Linked DNA regions of Drosophila melanogaster. The protein of the gene in region 3 interacts with the protein of the main gene of each other region in a pairwise test. Each region holds a gene or a part of one and is shown on either strand. Other genes may lie near its edges. The genes, in order: Tapdelta, CG17826, SdhD and CG31775.

Evidence for each region.
Region 1: the proteins of SdhD (region 3) and Tapdelta interact in a two-hybrid assay, tested with the Drosophila melanogaster proteins (one large-scale study listed by BioGRID).
Region 2: the proteins of SdhD (region 3) and CG17826 interact in a two-hybrid assay, tested with the Drosophila melanogaster proteins (one large-scale study listed by BioGRID).
Region 4: the proteins of SdhD (region 3) and CG31775 interact in a two-hybrid assay, tested with the Drosophila melanogaster proteins (one large-scale study listed by BioGRID).

Annotation. Positions count from the first base shown.
Region 1 is NT_033778.4:11,369,106-11,373,690, forward strand, and holds Tapdelta (Translocon-associated protein delta), read right to left. Parts: upstream 2,231-4,585; 5' UTR 1,908-2,230; coding exon 1,668-1,907; intron 1,609-1,667; coding exon 1,348-1,608; 3' UTR 1,195-1,347; downstream 1-1,194. Other genes in the region: CG13204 (uncharacterized protein), read left to right, coding at 1-1,131.
Region 2 is NT_037436.4:11,947,765-11,953,695, forward strand, and holds CG17826 (uncharacterized protein), read left to right. Parts: upstream 1-2,074; 5' UTR 2,075-2,108; coding exon 2,109-2,136; intron 2,137-2,194; coding exon 2,195-4,422; 3' UTR 4,423-4,461; downstream 4,462-5,931. Other genes in the region: CG7252 (uncharacterized protein), read left to right, coding at 40-1,442; obst-G (obstructor-G), read right to left, coding at 4,635-5,408, 5,464-5,529.
Region 3 is NT_033777.3:23,758,246-23,763,098, reverse strand, and holds SdhD (succinate dehydrogenase, subunit D), read left to right. Parts: upstream 1-2,498; 5' UTR 2,499-2,604; coding exon 2,605-2,647; intron 2,648-2,738; coding exon 2,739-2,854; intron 2,855-2,926; coding exon 2,927-3,114; intron 3,115-3,175; coding exon 3,176-3,377; 3' UTR 3,378-3,612; downstream 3,613-4,853. Other genes in the region: udt (undicht), read left to right, coding at 1-42, 132-550, 669-1,480, 1,539-2,118; PTPMT1 (protein tyrosine phosphatase, mitochondrial 1), read right to left, coding at 3,613-3,741, 3,804-4,121, 4,181-4,324, 4,571-4,582. UniProt on the Drosophila melanogaster protein: Membrane-anchoring subunit of succinate dehydrogenase (SDH) that is involved in complex II of the mitochondrial electron transport chain and is responsible for transferring electrons from succinate to ubiquinone (coenzyme Q).
Region 4 is NT_033779.5:14,735,933-14,740,248, forward strand, and holds CG31775 (uncharacterized protein), read right to left. Parts: upstream 1,838-4,316; 5' UTR 1,799-1,837; coding exon 1,787-1,798; intron 1,720-1,786; coding exon 1,462-1,719; 3' UTR 1,158-1,461; downstream 1-1,157. Other genes in the region: CG31835 (uncharacterized protein), read left to right, coding at 19-1,068; CG42585 (uncharacterized protein), read left to right, coding at 4,090-4,316.

The DNA.
Region 1 (4,585 bases), on a different chromosome or scaffold from region 3:
AACTGTGCTGCAGTGGCACCGCTCAGTTCGATGACTCCACCTGCCACCAGTGGCAGTAATTCCGCCGTAGTCTTGCCCCTGCCCATCTCACCCGCATCCTCAGTCGCTGCCGCAGCTGCTGCTGTCAGCAAGGCCAATGCAAATGCCCTGGCCTCTCTGGCTAACCATCTGCCCATGGGCTTGGGCGTGAGCGGACTGGCCCAGCAGATGTTCCCGCTAGCCACGCTCAAGGCGGCGGCAGTGGCTGCTGGTCTTCCCCTGCCACCTACGATCACGCCGCCTGGTTGCAGCACCGGCAGCGCAACCAACAGCAATGTCGGTTGTCTGATCATCGAGCCGCATCTCTTTGCGGCGGCGGACAACTTCAAGAAGGAACTGACAGCGGCTGCGGCAGCTGGAGCACCTTTGGGATTGTTCCAGAACCTGGCCAACCAAGTGCAGAACGCCAATCGTTTGAACGGCAGCTGCCCGAGCTTACCCATGGGTAATCCCACTCCTCCGCCGCCGCCGCCAGCGCCACCAGCCTCCAAGGTGCGAAGGGTACAACCTTCGCCGCAAACCACGGCCATCAACCTAAGTTGCTCCGGAGGGAATTCCGTACAAACGCAGCAGCAGCAGTCAATGCAAATGCCACAAATTCAACAGCAACAACAGCCGTCGCCCGCCAAAACGCGTAAGATTTGCGATCCGCGTTTTCCGAGCGATTGGGACGTCTCTGCCGTGCTACAGGCCAACAGAGAACTTGACGCAAACACTCTTTTCTTCTTGAGTCTGGCGCGGCAGGTGCGAGCTATGCCCATGAAATTCCAGTCGCTCGCCAAGATGCGTTGCATGCGAATCGTCAGTGATTTGGAGCTAGAGCTGGAGAACTTTGATTGCAACGGTGGAGCGCCACCGCCGGATGATTCAGGCGGAGGAGGAGCTGGGAATCTCAAGTACTGCAGCATAGATACTCCGCCACCGCCGCCGCAGGACGGCTCCGTGGTCATACCCCCGCCGCCAGTCGGCCCCGAGGGCTCCACGGAGCACTTTGTGTATGTGATGTCGCCGTCGCGTGTGGAGAGCATGATAGACATCTCCTCCGACGAGGAGGCGACCATGAATGGAGCGCCCTCCACGGGCCAGGTTTAAGCGTATTCGTACAAGTTATCTCTAAATTAAAATTAAATTAATCTCAACTAGGTTCCTTCGGTTGGTCTTTCAATCAGTTTATTTTGGAGCGGCGGGTGATCCGATGCTTAGGTGTACAAAATGTGGAAAAATCTCCGGGACCCGGCAATTTGATGGTACATGACTTTAGTGCGAATGAATTTCATTCAAAATCTCGATGACGAAGGCATCCTCTACTTAGGACTGCACCTTGCCCTTGGTGGTGAAGGCGAAGTATGCGAATCCGCCGACCAAGAAGGCGGCCAAAAGCTCAGCCTTGATCCAGGGACCCTTGTAGGCACCCTTGGTGGGCACGGAAATGTCGAGCAGCGACTTCACCGATGAAACCTTGTCGCCATCCCGCTGGGCCTTGCGCACATTGGCATAGCCATCCTCGTCGAAGAGACGCACCTGAACATTGCCGCTGCTGCCCTGCTTGATATCCTCCACCCAGCTCACCTAGTGCAGAACAGAGATTAGCCTTTGCACAAAACTTGACGGGGCTACTACTGGCTCACCTGGTACTTGTTGTCGCCCACCTTGGCCACCGGCACCACCTTGCCGCAGGGGAACTCGGCGAACAGGCTGGCGGGAGCGGCTCCGCTGCACTGCAGCGTGAACTCGCCCACATGGGCCAGCTGGGTCAGAATCGTGGCATCCTGGGTGCTGAAAGAGCTCACGGTGGCCTTGCAGCTACCGTAGACGCCGGACGCACAAACGGCGGCAATCAGGCAAATGGCGAACAGTTGACGGGACATCTTGATCAAGTTATGAGGTGGTTTTTATTTAGTAATCAATGGAATAGGCGGAACTCTACGGCTATCCAACTCGGCGACCTGCGACTTTCTTTCTCTCTGGAAGCGAACGCCACGACAGCACCATACATACGTCACGTCACTTGACAGCTACGAAAATTGCCGAAGTCGTACCAGTTCGATGGTCACACTGGTCGTGACCAGGGATGGCAACGCTCAGTCGAGAATAGCTACAAAATAGCTAGTAGCCCGTGGTAAATTTTTCCGATTTTTTACTTGTTATATCTAAAAATACAGTTTTAGAAAGCGGTTTTTTGTAGTTTCCTAATGACATCTATATGTTAAGATTTCTCCGGGAATGTTTGTCGTTCGAATATGATAGCAATTAGTACGTATACGTAAATGTTATAAAATTCATATAAAATTTGTATATACAAGTATTAAAAATAAGTGCGTATACATAAAAAATATAAAAATATGGGATTCATTTTATTTGGAATAAAGTTATTACTAATGATGTCAGTCCTGTCAAAATAAATCTTTCCTAATTATAGGGGCATTGAGATATGTAGACTTAATTTCCTCCCATATCAATTCAATTTCTAGCGATTTCAATTTCAAATATATAATTTGAAAATATCGAATTTTAAATAAAAAACAATTATATTAAAGTTAAATATTAATAAATTAAATTAAATTTATAAATAAAAATATAATGACAAATAGAATTCTTCACCAACAGGTTAAATTTTTGTAGTCTTACTTTGATTAAAAGACTAAAATTCTTATTAAATTATATTTATACAAAATTGTAATGTTTTAAGGAAAAATTGCTCAGCTATGATCGAGTACCGAATGCAATCCATCACTTTGGAGGATTCTGCTTTAGATCGCTATTGCGCTGATATTAAAAACATCAAAGTGAACTTTGATCAAATTGGTGGCTTAATTTGTACTTAGGCAAATACCCAAAGTTCCTTGTCTAAAACGTCTTTGAGGGGATTCCTTTTGCAATACATTTACGTTGGGCTGACTTCATTTAAAATATGTATGTAAGTATCTATTTAATTTAAAGTCAATAGATAAAGTCCAGGCCGTTCCAGTCACAGTAATTTCGTACCGACTGCATTTCTAATTAAAATAAGTTTTCGTCTGACAGTTTTGCTATGGTACCGTTCTGTGATCGGTTACGACTAAGTCCAATATTTATGGCACTTCGATTGCAATTGATTTCGAATTGCAGCAGTGTCAGAGGAAACGGGAGTCCTGTCCAATCGTTGGGGGAGTCTTCAAAGTCGGGCCATAAGCACCGAGTATTGACTGGTGGCAGTGATTAATGCCCATCCAACTGGAATGGGGCTTTCAGCTTTGTTTTAAGTACATTTTATTGGCAATCGGAAAATCGGATACTATCGTATAAATACTTTGGCTAACAGGCATACGAATGTATGCGGATGTGACCTTGAAGTGGGCCTGATTTGGTTTTGCTTTTTTTGTTTACGGTTTTATGCCATTTTGTGTTTGTGTTTGCCGCCACCGTTCGAATCGGCTCCATTTTGCTATGTTCGTTACTTTCCTTTGATTGCCACCGCGCACGGAACTTTTCCACCGAACTTTGCATGTCTTTGATGAATTTGAAATTGTCACAAATGTGAAAGTTTTTCACTTGCCATCCCATCCGGTTGCCCATCCGCAGATACAGATACTCATACTCATACTAATACCGGCAACAACTGAATTTGCATCTAACATTTTGCTGACATTGAGCGACTTGTACGCATTTCTCCTTCCTCCTCCTCCCCTCTTCTCACCACTCTGCCAGCCTTTTTCCTGCTTCTTTTTTTTGGCTACTATTCATTCATTCATGGCCGGATTTGCATATTTGCCAAAAATGCCGTAATCCTTTCGATTAAGAGGCGTTCGGTGGGTGATTCGCAAATGAAAACAAAAGTTCGTGCGGGTTCATTGAGTCGCAGTCGAAAACTTGCCAGACCCACCGGAATTGCACGTGTCTTTGGGGGAGGAGTGGGTTGATCCGGGGTTGGCAGGTGGATCGACGGATGCATTGGGCAAAATAAAGTGCACTCTGACCGGAAACGAAATTGGTACTTAGATTGCAAACATAGAAGCAGGCGCGATTGTGTATAAGCCAAATTTTGGCGTTCTATATTCTACAATATTTTAATTTTGGGAGTTTTTCAACAACTCGCAAAAATAAATATTACAATAAACCTAAGTTTTTAAAAGTTTTTCATATAAAAAACGAACCAATTATTAACAGGATACATTTACTAATCGAGTATAATAGCTCATTTGTAAGGGACATTACCTTTTTTAATTTTTCCTAGATCACTCCAATTTCTTTCAGTGTGCTTCGGTGGATGGTTGTCTGACGTGTGGGTGTGAGCAGGAAATGGAACAAAGAACCGAACTGTAAGGAGAGCCTGAGCCAGCATAACAGGCGACTCCTTGCCAACGTTGCGATTTTGTTGATTGTTTGTTGGCAACATAAACGAACCTCCCCCCCCCACCCAAAAAAAAACCGATTCCGATTCCGATTCCGGTTCGGAGTCCGAAATTCTTCATTCACAAAACGCAGTCGGTGCAGGGCATTCGAGCCAAGTGGACGTGGAAGCCACCTCGATCTCGGCCAGACGGGGATCGCATTTGCAAAGTGGCTT
Region 2 (5,931 bases), on a different chromosome or scaffold from region 3:
TACCCAAGGCTAGTAACTTATTTCGGGTCCGTATCCTAGGTCTCTGGACCGTTCTGCTGCTTATCGGAGGTCTTCAAACTGTGGTAGCCCAGTTGACGAATGTGTGCCAAAATCAGGAAGATGGCACTAGACTTCCGTTGGCCACCCACTGTTCCCGATTTGTCGTTTGTCTGAAGGGAGAGGTTTCCATTATCGGTAGCTGCCCTCGTGGACTCCATTTCAATCGGGAGCTGAGGGAGTGCGACTTCCAGTGGCGAGCTAATTGCTTGGGACTCTCGGCCTTTGCCGAAGTGGATGATCAGTGTACCTGCGATTGCTGTGCTGAGGAGTGCCAGGATCCCATTGACGATATCGATGAAACTACCACGGCGGTCACCGAGGACTGCGATCCGGATACCACCACTTCAGCCACGGAACCCTCCGATTCCACGGAGCCGACGGATGCTACAACGGATTTCGATGACCCCAACAACTCCTCCAACACCACGCCTTCGAGTCCAAGTGTGGTGCCCTCGTATTGCAAAAGTTCCCGCACGGATTGCGTTAATCAGAAAACTGGCACCTATATAGATATGCCCGGGATCTGCGTGAGGTTCATCCAATGCAACAATGGTTGTGCCGAGGAATTCCAGTGTCCCTCCGGTCTGTACTTCAACACGGCGATAGACGATTGCGATTACTGGTGGAATGTGGACTGTACCCCCACCGCCGATGGCTCCACTGAGATCGAGGGACCATCGGGCACCACCTGCTCCAGTCAGGGCGAATGCGCTGGTAAGAGGGATGGCTACATGATTGCGGACCCCAATTCGAATGGATTCTTCGTCTGCCAATGCCAGTGCCCCATTGCGATGCCCTGTTCCGAGGGTCTGAAGTTCAACGAGACGGCCCAAGTGTGTGATTGGATTAAGGACACTAAATCCGCAATTGGTTCCTCGGCGGTTCAATGTTACGGTGACCTCGTCTACAACGCCACCTTAGACCAGTGCGACTATCCTGAAAACTATGTGCCCAAGGTGGAGTGCAATACCACCAGCACCGTGTGCCAAAACCAGCCGGAGGGAGAACTCTTTCCGGTGGAAGGCAAGTGCAACATGTTCTACAAGTGTAACTTCAACTGCGCCGTCGAGCAATATTGTCCGAACAACTTGGTCTACAACCCAAATACCGAAGAATGTGAATACCCCCAGGACTATGTTTGCCCGTGGGAGTATACCCCACCCTCTGGTCCCAATGCAGGACCTTCGGGAATCGCCTGCGAGAGTAATGGCCGTTGCATGGGACAACGTGAGGGTACCTACTTAAAGTCCACCACAAATTGTAGCAATTACGTCGTCTGCCAGTGTGAATGCGAGGTCGAGATGGAGTGCGCCGATGGCTTGTATTGGGACGAAAGCTTGCAGACCTGCAATTATAAGAACCAAGTGACCTGCACTCTTTAAATGACCGATTGGCAAATAAAGAAAGTGATTATCAAAGCAACTACTACTACTAGGATGTAGCCTAATCTGCCCATTTATTAATGAAACATTGGATCAGTAAATCATTTTAATCAGTTTTGTGGCGGGAATATGCCAACAGGTGTCGGCACTCAATGAGATTGGCAAGAGCTTATCGAACATAAATACCCATTTTTTTTTTTTTAATAAAGAAGGGGTATGTTTCCTGTAGGAATTTGTAGCTGGTCCAACCACTGCTATCACAATATAAAGCTTCAAAATAGTTAGTTCACATAGGTAAGTACCTATCAGTAGTTGTTCTTCTTTATACATATATGCACTATGGCGCATTGAAATTTCAATTTCAATCGATCGTTAAGACTTCTCATATATGAGCATCTTATAGCAACTGAAGAATAATTTCTTTTGGACTCTTTGATTTCGCGGATTCACAATGAACCGCTGAGTTTTATAAATAGTGACAATATCGATTGCTTGTATTACTACTGTATATATATGCTGATAGTATCACGGATGTTTCGACATTATCACCGCCACATGCTCTGATGCAGGAAGAGACATTCAATTATTTTAATTGCCGGTAAATATAAAAGGCGATATCTTCGAGCGAAGATTCATCAGTGAGCATTCGATACGCAGAGTGCAAAGATGGCCCAATCCAGAACTAAACACTATGGTAAGGACGGAGCAATGATAATTGGGAGGATGATTGTTGATCCGCGGTTTTTACCCAGGAGTGGCCCTGTGCCTAATAATTTCCCTCTTTATGGGATCGTCAAGTGCTGTGTGCTGCTCGGAGGGCGACACAAAAGTGGATGCGGATGATTGTACCAAGTATCTGATCTGCTGTCACGGCGAATTTGTATCCAAGTCGTGTGCAAGCGGATCCTATTGGAATTCGGAGTTAAATATCTGTGTCGTGGATGATGGTCAATGCAGACCTCCAACCTGTGTGGATGGAGAAATTACACCGAATCCAGATGACTGTGCCGGCTATTTAGAGTGCGTGGACGGAATCATAGTGATCCTGACCTGTCCAGATGGCGATTACTTCAATTCGACCCTAAATCGGTGCGTTGAAGATACCTGCGGCGTGTGCAACGGAAATGGAACGACATGCACTGATGGCGAACTTAAGGTGGACCCCACCAATTGCGCAGGCTACTTGGCTTGCTCGAACGGTAACTGGGTGAGCAAGCAGTGCGCTGACGGAGCTTACTTCAATGCCATACTGGAGACTTGTGTACAAGACGACGAGGGAATATGCGTCAATTGTAAAGAGGGATCTACAAAACCCTTGGCCGACTGTACCATGTATGAGATCTGTTCCGGTGGCAAGTATGTGACCAAGTCCTGCGACAGTGGTTACTACTGGAACAGCCAATCAGAGGTCTGCGATGTGGATAATGGTCAGTGCAATGGAAATGGAACGACATGCACTGATGGCGAACTTAAGGTGGACCCCACCAATTGCGCAGGCTACTTGGCTTGCTCGAACGGTAACTGGGTGAGCAAGCAGTGCGCCGACGGAGCTTACTTCAATGTCACTCTGGAGACTTGTGTACAAGACGACGAGGGAATATGTGTCAATTGTAAAGAGGGATCTACAAAACCCTTGGCCGACTGTACCATGTATGAGATCTGTTCCGGTGGCAAGTATGTGACCAAGTCCTGCGACAGTGGTTACTACTGGAACAGCCAATCAGAGGTCTGCGATGTGGATAATGGTCAGTGCAATGGAAATGGAACGACATGCACTGATGGCGAACTTAAGGTGGACCCCACCAATTGCGCAGGCTACTTGGCTTGCTCGAACGGTAACTGGGTGAGCAAGCAGTGCGCCGACGGAGCTTACTTCAATGCCACACTGGAGACTTGTGTACAAGACGACGAGGGAATATGTGTCAATTGTAAAGAGGGATCTACAAAACCCTTGGCCGACTGTACCATGTATGAGATCTGTTCCGGTGGCAAGTATGTGACCAAGTCCTGCGACAGTGGTTACTACTGGAACAGCCAATCAGAGGTCTGCGATGTGGATAATGGTCAGTGCAATGGAAATGGAACGACATGCACTGATGGCGAACTTAAGGTGGACCCCACCAATTGCGCAGGCTACTTGGCTTGCTCGAACGGTAACTGGGTGAGCAAGCAGTGCGCCGACGGAGCTTACTTCAATGCCACACTGGAGACTTGTGTACAAGACGACGAGGGAATATGTGTCAATTGTAAAGAGGGATCTACAAAACCCTTGGCCGACTGTACCATGTATGAGATCTGTTCCGGTGGCAAGTATGTGACCAAGTCCTGCGACAGTGGTTACTACTGGAACAGCCAGTCAGAGGTCTGCGATGTGGATAATGGTCAGTGCAACGGAAATGGAACGACATGCACTGAGAATGAGGTTAAGGTGAATCCTGCGGACTGCGCCGGATACCTACAGTGCATAAACGGAGTCTTTGTGGCCAGGAAGTGCTCCGCTACGCAGTTCTTCAATACCACACTGAAGGAATGCGAGGTCGACACAGAGAATGTGTGCATTCCCAAAACCTGCGATCCCGACTGCTGCGATGTGCCCAACAATTCCATCTGGCCCGTGGAGAAAAATTGCTCCGCCTTCTACCAGTGCGTAAATGGTAACAAATATGAGCAGCGGTGCTCCAACAACCTGCAATACAATTCAATAATAGAGCAGTGCGATTATCCCGAAAATGTTCAATGCGACGATGGATCTGCACCGCCAAGTGGTCCGATTGCCGGACCCTCGGGAACTTATTGCGAGAGCCACGGACGATGCGTTGGCCAGCGGGATGGTACCATGTTCGCCGATGCCAGCGGAGATTGTAGTTCTAATTATGTAGTCTGCCAGTGCGAGTGTGAGGTGAACTTCACTTGTTCCTCTGGACTTTTGTTCAATTTGCAGGTCAAATCCTGCGATTGGCCCGATAATGTTAAGTGCTAAGTGGTTTCAATAAACAATATTTAAAGCAGAGTATTAAACGAAAAGATTTTCGTTTTTCTATAGATAAAAACTACTTATTCTAAGCAGAGAATAGAAAATATTCCCCTTATTTTTAGTACTATATGATGTGGCTATATTTTCTCTGTTTAGGCTTTGGACTATTAAAAATTATTATAATTCAAGCACTTTATTGGGGTCTTAAAAAAATATAGTTAGAATCGACGTTTTTTTGACTTGCGCACAGGTTTCTTTGACTTGGATTTGCTTTCATTTAGCTTCGTCTGGCATTTTGCAATTTTGGGATAATCGCATCGTGATGTGGCTATATTGAAATGCAGGCCAGTTGGGCAGTCCATTACCAAAAACATCATGTTGCTGCAGAGCATAAACTTGCCACAATCGCTGCGATGAGCAACAAGAGAGTTTTCCTTTTCATCTGAACACACTCCTCCCGTGGTGGCAGGACCATCTGATTCTTTATTTTCTCGGGTTCCACCCGAACACTTGGCTTCTGAGGCCTTCATGCAAATGCGACGAGTTGGACTAAAATGTTGTTTGTCAGGACAAGAGCGCAGATGGGGCTTTTTTGCTTTGCAGACATAATATTCCTGGCAGGACCCGTTCTTTGTAAGCATCACTCCATCCTTCTTGCCAGCACACATTTTGTCAAGGGTTGTAGGACGCGGCTTTTTCGTCGCTTTGACAGTAACGGGAGGATCAGTTTTGGCCATTTCCTCATCATCGTCTTCGTCGCTTTCAGAACTTGACGTGTCGTCAACAATATTATCCTTGCCATCGAAAATGCAATCCACATTGTCAGGATCATCGCAGTGCAACGTTAAAGGATTAAACAACGTATTCTTTTCACAAGTTCCGGTCACAGCGTTTCCATCAGCACACACGTAATATCCTTTACAGGATCCAAACATGGGCAAGAGTCCACCATTTTTACCCTCGCATAAGGACGTCTTGAACGCAAATCCGTTCTGTGAAAGTGAACATTCTAATTTTTCATACTTTTAAGAATGTTTTCCAACATACTTGTACAACAGCCAGAGTACTTTCTTGAAGTACTAACATTACGCAGAGCAGTCCAAATAGCTTCATTTTGTGTGATGCTATCGAGTGTTTTATCGAACTGAAACTTTCCATTCATTGAACTGCGTTTTTATAGAGTAGCATTTATAAGTAATTTGCATGATTTGCTAGTATGTTAAATGCTAGAATCTGATTGTACTGTTCATATGATAGAGTTACTCGAATATGAGTACTATCTTTATTTTCTTACTCAGAATTGATAAGAGTTCATATAAAACATATGTAACGTCTGATCAAAGGTGGCATTCCTACATATGAACGTGTGCCCAGGTTCAAGACCATTTTTGTTTTGGGTTGACGTTCTATCATAAAATCTTTCATACTTTAGTGAATGAAAAGTATCATATTTCTAAGACATCCAATCGACCACTTTTAGATCTATCTAGTTGCAAATCTTTTACCTGCCTTCTT
Region 3 (4,853 bases):
ATTACCTGGCTGCTATCTGCCTGGTGGGCTTAATGGGCTCAGGTCAGTGATTCGATTCCCAAGCCACACCCAAGGCTCCAAGTGAATCATGTGAATTGGCCACCCGAAACTAAAGCCCATCCATTTTACAGCCCTCGGTCAGTACAACCTGGTGCAGAAGGACAACTGCATCATTCCAAAGATCCTGCAGGGATCGTGGTTCTCGTGGGAAACGGGCCTGCCCACGCTGACGGTGATCGACGCCACCTCGATGTCCAGCCGAGGCTACTGCATCAACTACATGCGCCACAAGGGCGACGAGTACTCATTTGTCTTCAAGGAGCGATCCAAGGACTGCTATCACTGTGTCAGGACCATCATCCGCACCCTTAATGTGTTCGAAAAGTTTGAGGGGCCCTGCGTGGGCATACCCGCTGGACAGGAACCCACCGTGGACTATGTGTGTCGTGGTGTTAAGGATGACCAGCAGTTGATAACGCTCTTTAACGAGAACTTTGTGCCCATCAACTGCCGATCGTCGCTGGAGGGAGTGTGGCATTTTACGTACCAGGTAAGATCAAAATAGATTCATAGATCACATAATTTGCACATGGTGCGGTTTAGTTAAGGGTCTAGAAACATATCCATTTTATGTTGATTAGTGATCTTGATTTGAACTTTTATTATAGAACCGATTCCGATTCACGGGCGTATGCGATAAGCCCGACGCTCGCATTCAGTCCTGTCAAACGGCAGGAACGCAGTTCCTCATCCAGAACCAGAAGTTCAACGTCACCTATCAGCAGTGCGAGGGTATGGAGGGCACATTCACCGGCACCGTGGAGTTCAGCTGCCTGGGCGATTGGTTTGTGGGCAAGAACCACTACTTTGCCGTGGCCAACACAAAGGAGTCGCGTAAGGATGAGAAGTACCGCTGCTTCCTTAAGAATCGTGACGATGATCTTTACGTGGGCGTTTCCATTACGGCCGAATGTAACACACTGAAGACGCCAGAAACGTCACCGGAGCGTCTAAAGCTGACGCCAGTGAAGGCTGAGTTTGTGGAACCCGGTTGCACGCTACCACAAAACTTTAGCGGAGAATGGGTGAACACTGCCAACATTGATGCCGATGTCTCGATCAGTGAGACCCACATAAACGAGACGTACTATCCGGATAAAGCTCGATACCGAAAGACAATCTATGTTTGCCGAGAGCGACGGGGTAATCGTGTGATGATGGCTCGCCTCACTGTCGACGGTTGCCAGAAGGATTACGTGTGCTTTGACTTTATGCCCCGCCACCACAACATCATTCGCTACCGCAAGGGTTTGGCTGTGATCAAGGACGATTTTAGTACAGTCTGCTCTTGGGTTCAGTTCCCCAATTCGGAGGCATGGAAATATGATCTGTTTCTTGCTCGAAATCCTGTGCCTGTTCGTTGCCCCGTTGCGGGAAAATTCAACTTTACGCAGCGAGGAGAGCATCCCTTCAGAACGAGGTTTGTAATGTTTTGCAATCGTAGCATGAAACGTATAATTAATGTGTATATTTCACAGAATTCTTGGTGGTGTCACTCTGAGTCCGCGTCCCGATATCCATTGCAAGCAAAACATCTCGGATTTATCGGTTTGCGATACAGATCAAAAGGAATTGGCGGTGGATGAAAACTATTGCCTGTCGGTGGATCACTTGGGTCGTCCCGTTGATATCTACAGTGATCCCGATTACCGCATGAAGTGCATTGGCTTCTGGAAGGAGAACCTCAAGTCCTACCTGATTACGTACGACGATTTGGATCCGCTGTCCAAGTATCGCTGCTGGGTCTATCAGCGTGCCGACCTCAACCGTGTCCTCATGTCGCAGGCTGTGGGCGCATTCTGCAAACTGGAGCAAGATGTGACCTCGTGGAACCACTCGGAGGGCGCTGCCGTAGCCATCGATGCCGTGGAGTACGAAAGGGAGCGTGACGACTGTCCCATGCACTTCGATGACGGATTGAATCCTTGGAAGCCGTCGGATGCCTCCAACATCATATTTGATTGGGACTTTTACCGAGCAGGAGCAGCGACACTAAAATTTCAACTGACTGGCCTCGTTATCGTGGTCTTAGTCCAGGTTAGGAGTTTATTAGCTTAATAATATCAAAAGTATTTTTTAACTATTCCATCCAACGAAATTTACAAAAATTTTACAACCAACATAAAGTCACTTTTAGGAGCAATTGCGTGCCTTAGAATGCGAATTTTAGAAAGTTTTAAGCAAATTTTAAACTTAGTTTGTAAGATCATCACAATTTTTACGTGTAACAGCCATTCCGTCCCAAACGAATCTCAAATGTATTGTGCAAATAATTAAAGCAGTTAAATAAATGCCTTGAACTAAATGTTTTCTTATTATTTATTACACCCTTTAATTGTTTGTTGAGTTCAAAATATTTTACTGGGCTTCCCTTATTATTGTGGGACAATATCTTGACCGCTACTGTTTACCGATAACAAATCGATGACAGCTGACTGCACTAGCCCAGTGCTGTGTAATTTTTTAGACAAATCGGCCCAAACCGAACGGAGCGATAGAGTTTTTATTTTGAGCTGAAAATTCTCAATATTTACACATCCCAACATGTCCCTCTCGTTGCTTCTGCGTGGCGCTGTCCGTTGCAATGGTAAGGACCCACTGGATGGCAAATCGCCTTGTTATTGGACGCAAAACAGCTTTCATTATATAACCAAACCGTTTGTTGGTATCCCAATTAGCCGCAAATCTTGTTAAGTCGGCTCGCATCACTCCCCTGAAGAGCTACTCCACCCTGGTGGCCAATGTCCAGCGGAAGGCGGTGGTCCAGCCCCTGGCCGTGGCCAAGATTGTAGCGGTAAGTGTTTAGAGTTGAAAAATTCAGTGGTGGCTAATCATACTAAATGGTAATCCTCGACTGCTTATGCAGCCCGTCGTGCGCGAGATCTCCGTGAGTGCGCCCCGCATGGCTTCCGCTGGATCCAGCCACACCCTGCTCTGGACTGTGGAGCGAATTGTGTCCGCCGGCCTACTGGCCGTCATTCCAGCTGCCTTCATAGCTCCATCCCAGGTATTGGACGCCCTCATGGCCATCTCTGTCGTCATCCACACCCATTGGTAAGATATCCTTGAGGAAAATTAAACCTTTACTTATATTTTCCTCATTCACCAAACGCAGGGGCGTGGAGGCCATGGTAGTTGACTACATGCGGCCATCTGTCGTTGGAAACGTCCTGCCCAAGGTAGCCCACATTGCGCTGATCATCATCTCGGTGGCCACGCTGGGCGGCCTCTTCTACTTCATCCAAAATGATGTGGGTCTGGCCAATGGTATCAAGCGCTTCTGGGCCATCAAGGGCAAGGATGCCGAGAAGGCTTAAATGTCAAAGGAGCAATCAGTTGATGAACCACGAAACACCAGTTATTTATTCATAGTTTCGCGATAAGCATTAAATAAAGAATTGTAAAAAGTCACAGCTGCACAGAGCGGGTTTTGTAGAAAATTGTATATTCAACAAGAAAATCAGCACTAAAGTAGTTGGGTAACAGGCACCACCTTTGTTACGTATGGTAATCTACTGTAAACAATAAATTTGGGCTATTGTCCAGGTTTGGTCATGATTTCGTCTCCACATTGTTTGTGTAGAATAACCGGAGGGCATCCCATTGTTTGGTGTGCAGCAGAATGTGCGGTCGGCACTTACGCATGTGGTCAACCGCCTGATCCGGAGTCCATCCGTTCTTCTGCAAAGGATAAGTTGTGAGCTTTTTTTTAAGAGCTACGTGCAAATAGATAACCAACCCACCATCATGAGGTAGCATCCCACCAAAGTGGCACTTCGCGTCCTACCAGCCTTGCAGTGCACATAGACAGAACCCACGTTCTCCGGCTGGTAGGAGGAACTTAGGCCACCAATTCTTTGCTTTAGAGGCAGGAACTTGTTTATGAATTCCACGCCGCGGAAGAGCTTTTCTTGATTGGGCGACTCAAAGATGTCGGTGGTGGCCAGCTGCAGGAACTCAATGCCAAGCTTTCGCCACTTCTCCGTGTTGTTGGAGAAGGCGGTCAGCTCATAGTCCTCGTTCATCGACACCACCGCCTTCATGTTCTCCTTTTCAATGAGCTGAGCGGTTAAACAAGGATTTAGAAGGATTTCAGGCTTGGTTCCGTGGGGATACTTACGTCATTGGCCTGGCTGCGAAAGGGCAGTGCTCCCAGTATCACATGCTCATCGATGCGATCGTACCAATTCCTGGCCGATGCCTTTTCCATCAGGACATTGTACAGCAGGGTGGGGTAGAAGGAAACGCGTGCGAACATGGCAGCCTGAAATAACAGGTGTCGACTGGAGGATTAGGAATCGGGGCACAGGTGGCGGTTACTAGGTAGCGAACGTAGCGAACGCAACAGCTGTAACTTTCACCAGCACTAACGGCTGAGCTCGAAGAGTGATTCGCTGTGCGACTCACTCGGTTGAAGCGCGGGTTGGAACTGGTTTCGGTTTTCAATTTGGTTTTGGGCTGTGACTTTTGGGTCTGGGTGTCTGGCACGCAGGTCGCAGCTTCTACTTACACTCATCTCCATGCCGGCTGCTCAGTGGCTGACTTGGATTGGACGAGACAAAAGTTGGTGATTCACACGGGCGGAAATCTTCCTCGTATTCTAATTATTCCCGCTCGTAATTATCACTTTCGATTGCGCGTCAACAGTTCCAATTCAGATTTCCTTCTGGTTAAACTCTGCGCGTTCCTTTGCATAACGAAACAACAGCCGGAAAATCCAGGGGCGTAGCTAGCAAGCCCTGGGAATTTTTCGGGGTAAGACATTCTAGACGTTAACTATCGCAGTTGCCCGG
Region 4 (4,316 bases), on a different chromosome or scaffold from region 3:
TTAGCACAAGGATCGAGGATGGGTCACCGCAACATTTGCTGCAACGGCTGTCAAATGACGATCTTCCAGGGTAGCCGCTTCCGGTGTTTGCGCTGCGTGAACTATAACCTATGTGACATATGCTACGATCATCAGATAGAAACGGAAGAGCATCGCGCCAATCATCCCATGCAATTGTTCCCTGACTCGGACGATCTGGTTCCGCTGCTTTACGGCGAAATCCCAGAGCTGGTCCACCTGTCCAATTGCTTCACCTGTCCACATTGCGGCCTACTTGCGCTCACAGCGAAGCGGTTCATCGAACATGTTTACGTTCAACATCGGGTGTCCAATGAATATGTGGTCTGCCCCATGTGCGCCGGACTGTCGGCCGCCGAACTGGTGGCCATACGCCACCTTTCCAAACATCTCCTGCACAACCACATCGATCACGCCAATTACCTAGAGCCCGACACACCGCCACTACGCCGAATATTTACCCGTAATCACATGCGCCACCACCGCCAATCGCAGTTGCAAACAACTCCGAATTCAAGGATATTCGATATATCCGTATGGCTGTCAACTGGACGTGTGAGCTCCGATCCCCAGCTCCTAAGCAACAATGATCCTCCAGAGGAGGCAGCCAATTCAGAGTCCCTGGCGTTAGGCTTGAGTTCCGGGGGGCCATTCGAACACGACGACGACAGATATGTTCTACTTCAGTGGATTGCACAGCAAAAAGTGCAGTGCCACGATACGGACGAATCTCAAAGGCTGCGGCGAACCCTCTTCGTTGAGCACTTGCTGATTTCCATGCTGTGCTGCGAGGAGTTGCAGTTGCCGGATGGAGACAGACGAATACGGGAAGGAAATGGGGAGAGTGATCTAGACCAGGAAAACCATAGCAGTCTGGTCAAGGTCATGTCAGTGATGTCACTGCCGTGGACAGGAGTTTGGCAGACCAACCAGCTAGACGGATCGGAGGGGGAAGGCGAGATACGGGCAGCCAAAAAAGATGGAGTCGATCTGGACAAGGTGCAGATCGAGGAGCACAAAAGGGTGGCTGCTGAGGAGGCCATTGATTAGGATACTCGAAATTGTATCTGTTTTTTCAATCATGTTGAATCCGCTTTTTAGTTGCGTTACATATTTCAAAGAAAAACAAAATTTTTGTGAAAATTTGGCTTATATTTATAATATGGCTTTTATATTTTGGCTTTTATTTATATTTACAATGTTTTAAGTAAAACCATTTGAACATCTGAAAGAGAAGATATTTCCCGTTGTCCCTTATGTTAAGTGTATTTATTTCTGGGCACTATTTAATAAATATAAATGAATAATAAATATAAATTTATTTTCATAAAACTCATAAATTTTCGAGAACGATAAAGTAAAAAATTCCAATTGTTTTTTTATCATAAAGGTGTCATATTTTTATTGAGGTATCTGCGTTAAGACGGTGCTATGAATTGGTTTTTACCAGCCTTGTTGCTGTTGCTGCTGCTGATCACCGAATCCACCTCCGAATCCACCTCCAAATCCTCCTTGCTGCTGCTGCTGCTGATCACCGAATCCACCTCCGAATCCACCGCCAAATCCTCCTTGCTGCTGCTGCTGATCACCAAATCCACCTCCAAATCCTCCTTGCTGCTGCTGCTGCTGATCACCGAATCCACCGCCGAATCCAAACTGAGGTAGGGCAGCGGCCGCGGCGAATAGGGCAATGAAGAGGATCTGTAACAATATTAAAATCAACTTAGTTCTTAAAGGTTTTTCTTTGAAGCGTATATGTAAAACGTACCAAAAACTTCATGGTGCTGATACTTCGGTTAGTCTTGCTAATGTGAATAAAATTTTTGGACGCCTCCGATCTTTTATACTCTCCTGCAATCTCATCATGTCGTCACGCGCCGAAGTATTATCAATGTTCTGACAAAATCAAGTACAATTAACCCAACAAAAATACGAAAAAAATTTCCAGACGTCTGGGAAATTAATATTTGAGCACTGTATCAATGCCTATGCTCAACGGGGGGAACCCTTCAACATCAATCTTATCTGGGAAGTCGAGCCTAATCTAATAAGTCCGCAACAGTTGCTAAGAAAAACTAAGGGCGACTTAGAAGAAGACGTTGTTTGAGATTACTTTAGATCATTTATGTTCCGTTTTCACGCATCACAAACGTGTTACGGCAACAAATGTTCTTGTTTGCTTTTCTGGGTTATCATTAGACTTTCGAAATGAGGAGGGATAATTAAGTATGAAATCCTTGTAATCATGGATTAATTTTTTATACATACGTATAATTATGTTATGTCTTTGAATTTTAGCGCTTAACAGGTTAGACCACTATAGTCGCATTCCTCGATTATCAGATACCCATTTCTTAGCTAATAGAAGAACTAAGATATTTACAAGACAAGACTAGATGAAATCAATGAAGAATCTAGAGTGTTGTTGGCACAGGTTCTGAAAGAATTGGAACTATTTAGAGGTCTGAATCTCATTCAGTTCATACAGACAGGCTTACAGACAGATGGCCAAACGAATACGGCTAGATAGACTCCGCTGGTGATGCTGGTGAAGAATATATATATTCTGTATAGGTAAAGGTTCGGCAACGCCTTCTTCGAACTCCCACAGACTTTTTAAAGAATTTGGTATACTCAATTACTCCACAAGTACCGTCTATAAAAACATAGAAATTATGTGTCTTAAAAAATTGTATTTATTAAACTAATAAGACTAGTTTATTTCTTTACATCCTTTTTTTTAAAGAAATATTATTTGTATTTTTTTTCGCTGTGTTTGGTTACATTCAAAAACATTTAAAATTTTCCAAACCAATTGTACTTTTTTTGAGAGCAAATTCAGCCTAAAAGAATACTGTTAAGCTTGTGAATTTAAATGCAGCGCTAAAAAGTCTTCGCCGTTTCTTATACTTTTTTTTTAGTGGCAATTGAAAAGCTTTTAATCGGTATATAGCTAATCAGCTCCAAAATAAGCAAAACAAATTAACAAGAAGAAAGATCAGGCTAAAGGTCCTCAACCCCTGATCAGAAATCAGCTCTGTTAATGCAGTGCTAGAATTTTGCTACCTCATCGCAGACGCTTAATCTAATAATCACAGCTTGGGGTATATAGATTTCGATAGGAAATAATAAGCAAAAAATAAGAAAATTTTGTTTTTATTACTTTGTTTTGGTGCAAATCGCTCCATTCGGCTTCCACCTGCTATATGTTTATTAAACATCTTATTTTTAAGAGTGTACTGAATCCACCACAATGGTCGCCGAAAGGGGGTGGTGCAAGGGCGGAGGTGCATGAAGCCGGAAAACTTCTATTACAACTGCCGCGCACCAAGTCGGGAAAATTAAAAAGAAGAGAGCGAGATGGAGATTCAAACCGAGACAGAGACAGAAGAGTAACTAATGGCACAACAGCCACATTTAGAACCGATGTGTTCAACGCAATACCTACTAAAATAGCAATTTTTGTGGATTTTTTGGGTTTTGAATTTTATGTGTACACACACTGAAGCTGTATTACATTTGGACATATGTATAATTATAAATTCAAGCTAAATTTTCAGCTCAAGGGAAGTTTAATTTTCGATAACTGCATTCTGATTTGAGCAAATATAAAATATCCTTTGAGTTATCTTCTACTGTCAAAAGATTTAGATAAAAGATTTAGTTCCTTATCAATAATGGGGGCTTATTTCTCGTTTCATATAGGTTTGGAAAACAAATTGCATTATCGTTATTTGTCACGTAGATAGCTGTGCTCACCGGACAAAATAGTACAGTGCATGTTTATTTAACTTTTTTTTCGCTGTACTTAAGGTTCCAAAAATAAACATTTGTTTAAAAGAGGCAAAGGAAATATGTAGAAAGCTTGAGTAAGTTTGATACATTTAGGTTGAAAAATAGTTTTAAAAGTAGAATTATATGTTATTACCAAACGCCCCGAAATATTTTACATCTATGAAAATCATGTCATTGTATAGATTCGATTTGTTAAAATTTAGAACCCTTTTGCCCGTTTTTTCGACCAGAGTTTAGGTATATTCGCTAAGAACGAAGTTAGCACAAGGATCGAGGATGGGTCACCGCAACATTTGCTGCAACGGCTGTCAAATGACGATCTTCCAGGGTAGCCGCTTCCGGTGTTTGCGCTGCGTGAACTATAACCTATGTGACATATGCTACGATCATCAGATAGAAACGGAAGAGCATCGCGCCAATCATCCCATGCAATTGTTCCCTGACTCGGACGATCTGGTTCCGCTGCTTTACGGCGAAATCCCAGAGCTGGTCCACCTGTCCAA